2 linked regions of the Caenorhabditis elegans genome follow. The protein of the gene in region 1 interacts with the protein of each later gene in a pairwise test. Each region holds a gene or a part of one and is shown on either strand. Other genes may lie near its edges. The genes, in order: M01E5.4 and prx-14.

Region 1 (4,783 bases):
TCAGCAGCAAAATCTGTAGAAACTTGGAGCTTATAAACAGAAAATATACCTACATCAGCAAAAAAACTATCGAAAAAATCCAAAAAGTTCTAGAAATCTCAAAAAATACATACGAATTAAGTCGCTCCGACACGGGCAAATTGATAAATTTTGAAAATTTCAACTACACATAGCCTTTTTTCTCAAATATTCATTTAAATTTGATACTTTGGGGGCATTTTGAGACAGAAATTCCAGCAAACTGAAGGGTTATATTCGTAAAACTCGGAACATTTCAGATTCGTCAAATCTACGAAAACCGAGGCCAGAAAATAACATCTCCTAATATTAAAAATTGACTTTTGACACCAACTAAATCATCATTTTTCAAATCAATAATTCTCAAAGTCCCTCAAAAAATACTCATCCAACTTTCTTCCATCTACTGAATCCATCCTCCTAGCACGAAGGTCATCTGCACTATTTACACCCGGTGTGCACTTTCCGTCGCCTGCTCCCTTCTCTCTCACGGGCGGCATCATATCTCTCGCTTCTCTGCGTCACTTTGGCGCCCGGTGCCCGCGAATGATGTATGTGCTCCTTGTGCCATAAGAGGGCTGATTTAAGATCTGAGCAGAGGGAGAAAGAGAGAGAGGAAACGACCACGCAAAAGCTAGAATCTCTAATTCAACACGGCTTCTGATTGCTCAATGATTCATCAAAAGAGGGAGCAGGGTTCAATTTTGCTGTTCAAGGCCGGAGATTCGAGTTTTGCAGCTGCAATGGCGATTTTTTGAACGAGAAAACCACAGTGAACCCCTTAAAATTTTTTTATCCACAGAAGAAACTAGTATATGCCCGAAATTCGAAGAAAAATATTCAAAAAAAAGCACATGGATTCGCAATTTTAATTCTTTCGAGGTAGAATCACAAAAAATATGTTTTTTTTTTCAGAAAAAAAAATGTTTAAAAAGTATGCCTCTGTATTTATGAAATTAGCGAAAATACTTGAACCTGTCTAGTCTGAATTGTTTGCTGTGTCATCTTGACCCAAGTGCACACACACACTCGTACAGTGGCGAATCAATGAGAATGACATACTTTTGAATTTAAAAAGATGAAATATGTAGATTATAACACCAGAAGACGAAGAGTTAAACCGAAAATGAGGAAAGGAACACAAATTCATATTTAAAAAATGAGGTATTTTACGATTAAATAAGTAATTCGCTTCAAATAGGTTTTCAAGAATCTTAGAAATATATTGCTCCACATACCGCGTTCTCACTGTGCTAAATTTCATCATAATTAATAATTAACACAAAACACAAAAATTACGCGGTTTTTGGGTAAATTTGTACATTTCGGCATCAAAATCGCACCAGAAAATTCAATTTCACCTACGAAAATCATCGAAAATCACTCAAAATTCATTACAAGCAACAGGATTTGAAAATAATCGATATCGAGTTTTTTGAGGCGTTCCATCAGAAAAATGTCGAACATGTTCACTTTTTTCACAAGTTTTCGATGAAAATCACTAAAATTTTAGGCACAAGTGGAGAAAAATACGGGGAATTCGATAAAATAAACGAAAATACGCAAAAAATCGGGCGCAGGTGCCCCAGAAAGGGTCCAAAAAACTGCAAAATCTGTGGTGTTATTTCGTGCCAGACAGTGAGGCGATGCGGTCGCGTCGCGTGCTCATGTGCGGTGGAGCGAACATGCTGATCAGGTGTTCGTGACGATTTTTTGCGAGTTCCCAACCGATTTTCGAGGATTTTTTTTTTTTCTGTTGAAATTTAGAATTTTTATTTCAATTTAAACGTTGAAAATTTTATAAATTAAAGGTGAAAACTATGGAATACATGAAAAGTTCTCATACACCCAATTAAAATCATTTTTACCCTTAAAACAATTCTTGATTATCGATTAAAACTAAACGTTTTCCCACTACATTTTCGTACTTTTCCTGCAATTCCAAGTGTATTTGAAGCTTATCAGTCAGTATTCTCCATTCGTACCGAAATTTCCCCTATAATTTTCTTATTTTCAGTAATGACGCGACCACATCAGCCAAGAATAGACTTAAATCACGGATTTCTTCGATTTATTAGACGCAATCAAGTTGATCGCGATGAGTACAATCGAGTACATGAAGAAAGAAAATCAGAGATTCGCGAACGAATTGGCAGCAGTGATAGTTCACAGGATGGTGAAGAGAAAGCTCAGTCGAACGTCTATGTTCCGCCACACTTGAGAAGGCAGAAAAAGGAAAATGAAGAGAAATTTTCAGCTTTGAAAGGTAATTAAAGCAAGTTTTTCCAGGAATATTCTAAAAACTCCATTTTCAGCTTCCCGATCACAATCCCAATCAGACACTGGTTCAGAAGAAGGCGAAGGAGCATCAGGAGGCGGTGAAGCCAGTTGTCCGATTCAACAGAAACAGAAAGCATTTGATGAAAATGTACGGAGACAAGTACGCCGAAGAATCGAACGAACTCACCCGACAGTCGATGATATTTGCATAGTATTGGCCAATTATAGCCTTCAGGAAGCCGCTTCAAAAAATTCAGAAAATTCGAATGAAGACCTTTTCGAGTTGGTTTTGACGCTGAAATCCGGAGAACAGAAGACGATTGGAGTGCCCAGGGTACTGCTTTACTGCTTCACCACTGGTTAGAGGGGAAAAATAAAAAATCTCATGTTAATTAGTTTTTCCCGTTATTTTTTGATATTCCCATCACTTATTTTTCGGTCGGTTCGGTTTCATCACGAGTTTTTGGATGAAATTTAGTCTTAGACCCCCCCCCGCCGCTTATCAAGGTGATACGATTTATGGCTTTTGTTCCCCACTACGTGAAGATACTGTTTTTAAGAAAATCGATAGAATATTTCGATTTTTTTGTGGTTTTTTGAGTCAAATTCAAGGTTTTTTGGGCTTAGTTTAGGTTTTTAAAAACCAAATGTATAGAGTTTAAGCCAAAACTAGCGGTTTTAAAGTAAAAATTGCGATTTTACAGCTAAATTTAGATAATAGGGTTCTTAATGCCAACTTTTGAGAATTTTGAGCTTAATTTAGGGTTCTTGAGACAAATTTAATAGTTTTAAAGCCAAATATAGAGGTTTTATAGAAAAATGTCGAAATTTTAAACCAAATTCAGGGTTTTAAATACAGATTCAGTGGTTTTAGCCAAGTTTACGGTTTTGAGCTAAATTTACAGTTTTGAAGCCAAAGTTAGGGAGTTTTAAGGGTTTTCAAACTAATTTAGCGGTTTCATACCAAATCTAGGGGTTTTAAAGCCAAATTATGCATTATTTGTGCAAAATTTAAAGCTTTTAAAACAACATTTTGGCTGTTTTAAACCAGTTTTACTAGTCTAAAGTCAATTTTTGAGATCTTATTAGCCAAATGAATAAATTAATTTAATTTCAGAACACACAAGCCGCCCGTCTCGCGAAGTCTCTTTCCCGCGAACATCATTTTTCGGACTCCCAATGCAGAAATTTGCGAATTTTCATTGAAGAGCAACTCGAGCTCCGATTTGCTCGTGAGAAGTCAACTGCCACGTCATCAGATGCATCGATTCCCGGCTCTCCGACGTCTTCATCGGAATCATCGATTATAGAGTTTTCTGCTTGAAATATCAGAGCTTTTTGTGTGACTGTGTTACTGTGTTGTTGTTGATGTTGCTCGGCTTAAAATATTTTAATGTAATTTTTAAATTTGTGTTAAGAAAAAATCAAGCTCTTTTTATATTCACTTTTTAAATTCAAGTTTTCTGTTTCTCTTTTCTCTGTCGCTCTCTTTGTCATTTGTTCTCGATTTCCCTGTTTTCTCGTCATTTCCACATTGACTGGTGCCGTTTTTTTGTACTTTTTATGTCGAAATTAGGCAAATTTTAGGCCTGTGATCGTGTTTTTTCTCCTTCTGTGTTTTTTTTCGATATACTCGCGCCATCATATCGATTTTACTTCTTCGGTTTCCTCTTTTTTCGAATTTATTTTAATTTCAAATATTAGTTGTAATGAATAGATTGCAAGCTTTTCGGCCGCCACCTAGGGCGGCCATTTTTTTTTTTTTTTTGAATAATTTTTTCGTCGTTTCTTATCGACTTTTTCTCAAATATCTTTGCACTTTACCGTTCTTTTTTTTGCGTTTTACCCCACAATTTTCGCCTTATCGCACTTGTTATCGTCCTATCATGACCACACTTTTTTCTCTTTTTCACGAGATTTTTCACTCTCTGTTCCCTTTTTTGCCCAATTTTTCCCCTCTGCTGCAAACGACGCTCCAACATTACGGCATTTGTGTGTATGTGGTGGAGACGACGAGAGTGACACTCATGTCCTCGGCCTCGCGGTTTTGCAGGAATTGATTGATTTTAGGGTGGCAAATCCTTCGACTTTGTGTAGAATTTGGAGAAAATTTTGGAAAATAACTCTAGAAATTGTCAATTTTTCCATTTTGAGCTCACGTTTCTTTAAATTTCTGATAATTCCACTTTTCCCGATTTTTTTTTTGGCTCCTCGTTCTCGAAATTTTTCCTCGATTTTTTAAAAATGGGTCTCGCTGCGAAAAAGTTTATTTACCTGTCTTAAGGTATTAATTTTTCTCACATTCCAAATGGTATTATTCAAACGCGAGATTGTGCGGATGTCTGTCACTCTCTAACTATCTACACTCTCTGTACCGGTAATACTTGACTTTTAAAAATCGTTAGAAAAACTATAAAATAAAAGTTCCACAATCAACGAGAGTTTTAAGCTACAGTACTCTTTAAAGGCGCACACATTTTTCCAT
Region 2 (3,657 bases), on another chromosome or scaffold:
ATTTTCACAGAACTTTATTAAAAATCATATTTTTTCAATTTTAGCCAACGGTCAAGCCACAATCAACTTTGAACACTCGTGGGGAGATGGAGTTGCCGTGCTTCGTTTAATGGAAGAATCATTCAAGGATACCAACAAAAATCATTTTGTATCTCCAGACGACACTCCAAAATCTCATAATCCAGCACATGTGCAGGCACTCGAATTCAAGCTCACGGATTCTCTCAAATCTAAAATCAGTGATGCTCAGAAGAAACACGTCTCTGCAAATTCTGATCTTGATTTTGCGACAATGGAATTCGAAGGACTCAACAGAGATTTGATCAAGAAAACTAAATTGTCACCGGATTCTGTGATGCAGCTTGCTATTCAAATGGCATTCTATTCTTTGTACAAAGAGTTTGTTCCAACGTATGAGTCATGTTCCACTGCTGCTTTCTTGAAGGGAAGAACTGAATGCATGAGGTAAGCTTATTCCTCAGAATTAAAATATCAAGTTTCAAAACTCAATTTTCATATCGGCAACATCAGCTACGCGTGCCGCCACCTTGGCTATTCTTGAAGAAAATCGTAAAGATGTTCGACAACTATTGACTGATTGCTCCACACAACATTTCCAACTTGTAAAAGAAGCATCAATGGGACAAGGATATGATCGACATTTGCTCGGCCTCAAAATCACAGCTCAACGATTGAGCCAACCAACTCCAGATTTCTTCCAAGATCCAGGATACACGAGAATGGGTCATTTTGTACTTTCAACGAGCACTTTGTCAACGGATACGATTGTCTTCGGAGGATTCGGACCAGTTGTGCAAGATGGATTCGGTATTGGATACAACGTTGTTCCCAACAAACTCGGAGCCGTTATTTCGAGCAATAAGGTTCGTGATTTCTCTATTACCCAGACGCTAAATTTTATACTTTTTGCGTCAAAATTACGGTAGTGGTCTCGACGCGACCTTTTTTTTGTTGCTAAATCCAAACTTTCGTTGCTTCGGAATTTTTTAATCATTTTTTCGATAAGAAATATATGTATATTTAAAAAAAATAAAGCAAAAAAACTGAAAAAAAAAACCAATAAAAACAACAATATGTTGCAACATTGAACACATCGTAAGAAACAAAGAAAAAGTCAATTAAAATTCCAAAGCCTAAGAGCTTTAAAGGCGCACAGCTTTTCGCATTTAATAAAAAAAACTATCTTGTTGATACCCGAAAAATTGTCTAATTTTTTTTTGAAAAAAAAATTAGTCAAAAAATAGAAATATTTAGAAGTTTTTTAAAAGTATATGGAAAAAAAAGAAACTTTTTTAAGAATATAAATATTATCAGATATTATATAAAAATCGAAATAAAACTAAACATCAATAAATTGAGATTAGAAAAATCTTGTTCAGGTACCGTATTTTTGACAAAAAAAACTCGAAAATTTCAGGTTATTATCTTATCTCTTAGAATTTGAAAACATCTTATCTTTATAAAATTTTCAGTCGAAACGTGACGCTGCCGCCTTCTCGAATGCTCTTTACAAGAGTTTGGACATTCTTCGTGGTCACCTTCTCGATCCGAAATAATTGTTTGATGACATTTATGTATTTATAGTGTAAACTACTTATTTATATTCATTTTTCTGTATTTTAGGGTAATTTTTCCTCGCGGTTTCTGCCAGATTTTAACCTAACGAGTATTTTCAGTTTCAAAAAATTCTTGCTTTCACATTGTAAATGTTAATTTTTGTGATAAATTTTTATCAATCGGGAAATCAATGTTTGATTATTTGATTATTCATTGATGGTTTTGTTATCGGTTCAAACCTTTTATTATCGATTTTCACTCATTTTTTAGATTATTCAATTTATTGCCATATGTATTATACTTTTATTTTAAAGCTTCAGGTTGAAAATGACTGACCCATCTAGTTCCCCGATTCGACCGGACATGGTAGAAGCAGCAAGAAAGTTTATGCTAACTCCAAAAGTTAAAGAGACTCCATTTGAAGAACAACGACAGTTTTTATTAGGAAAAGGAGTCAGTGAGGCTGAAATCTTGGAAGCACGAGCATCTATTCCGCCGGAGCAGTTGAGAAGTCAAATTGGAACAGAGAATATGATTCCAATAGGAGGTCATCCGCAAATGATGATTGCTCCAAAACAGAATGGGTTTGTAAATGAAATTATTGATTTCAAAATATCACCGCAAATTTCAGAATAGTATCATTTGCACAATCAGCTGTGGTACTTGGATCGATTTCATATGCTGGATATCGATTCGTCCGATCATATGTTCTGCCCAGATTCTTCGATATTCCTGATCCAGCAACAGAGGAAATTCGTCAACTGCAATCACAAGTCGACGATCTTCAGAATTCAATAAAATTCATAATGGATTCTGTTTCGCAAACAACACAACAGCTTGCAACACAACAATCAGAAATTTCAAGAGCCCTCTACTCAGTTGCTAACAGAGATGCTGATTTGAATCGGGTTGAGGTGAATTCTAGAAGATGGTTTTTGTAATGCTAATATTTCAATAATTTTCAGAGCGGAATTTCCACGATAAAAAGTTTACTTCTCAGTCAACATAATTTTGCTCCAATCGTAACACCTAGTGTTACTTCATCAATTCCATCATGGCAGCAGAGTGCAACTCCAACTTCTGCAACATCAATCACCACAACTACAACTTCTGAAGCAGCTTCCGGATATGCAACTCCTCCAGCCAATTTCAAAGAATCGTCATTAGCTGACGAGTTGGCAGATATTGAAAATATTGAATAGAATTTCAGAAATCTATGTAAATATATAATTAAATTAATCATTTTTAATGCACTCCTCGAAAGCCATTCCCTTTTTCTGTGATTTCTCATCAATTCACTGTGCCTTTTCATTTTTCATGTGCCACATTCCAAAGATTGTTAATTTCATCTGTGATATTACGAAAGAAAATCATATCGACATCTGAACGTTTCATTTCACAAAATGGTTGAGAAACCAGATATAAATTATCAGAATAAAAATGTGTTGCATGAAATAAACATTTGTTATTTAGGCATAATGAACAAATCGTTGATTGCTCTCGGAGCACAGACAGCTCGTCGATTTCTGAGCAGTTCATCAAAAAATACGATAGGAGGAGGAGATGCGAATCGGGCAGACACTGGTAATTTTAGGTTTTTTGACTAATAAAAAATGTATTTATTTAGCATCCGTTACTTTTCGTTTATTCCGTTTTGGATTCGGCAAAAATTTGTAAACACTCGATTTCTGATATTTTTCCAATTCATCAAACCTGCAGTCACGAAGCTATTTATACGGTACTCGGTCTCGACACGAAAACTTTTTTTAATGCAAAAAAGTACACTCCTTTAAATAATGAGTGCTGTAAATTCCCACTCTCATTTCTAAGAATTTTATTCCATTTTTCGTAGGTTTTCTCAAGATTTGTTAAAATTTATGTGTTTTTATTGTAAAATTTAAGTTTTTCATAAATTAATGTGTATATCTTTATAGAAAAACTATGAAAAATTGATAAAAATTCAACATCATGATGATCAACGAAAGTTTGAAACTACAGTAATCTTTAAAGGTGCACACCCTCTTGCACTCAACAAGAATTTGCCGTGTCGAGACCGGTAAGAATCGCAAAGTTTCGTGT

The links.
Region 2: the proteins of M01E5.4 (region 1) and prx-14 interact in a two-hybrid assay, tested with the Caenorhabditis elegans proteins (one large-scale study listed by BioGRID).

Annotation. Positions count from the first base shown.
Region 1 is NC_003279.8:13,286,795-13,291,577, reverse strand, and holds M01E5.4 (uncharacterized protein), read left to right. Parts: upstream 1-2,035; 5' UTR 2,036-2,037; coding exon 2,038-2,284; intron 2,285-2,333; coding exon 2,334-2,632; intron 2,633-3,415; coding exon 3,416-3,622; 3' UTR 3,623-4,025; downstream 4,026-4,783.
Region 2 is NC_003282.8:11,181,240-11,184,896, forward strand, and holds prx-14 (Peroxisomal membrane protein PEX14), read left to right. Parts: upstream 1-1,892; 5' UTR 1,893-1,905; coding exon 1,906-2,162; intron 2,163-2,209; coding exon 2,210-2,492; intron 2,493-2,543; coding exon 2,544-2,780; 3' UTR 2,781-3,056; downstream 3,057-3,657. Other genes in the region: cpt-2 (Calponin-homology (CH) domain-containing protein), read left to right, coding at 45-465, 518-884, 1,494-1,577; nuaf-3 (NADH dehydrogenase [ubiquinone] 1 alpha subcomplex assembly factor 3), read left to right, coding at 3,057-3,162.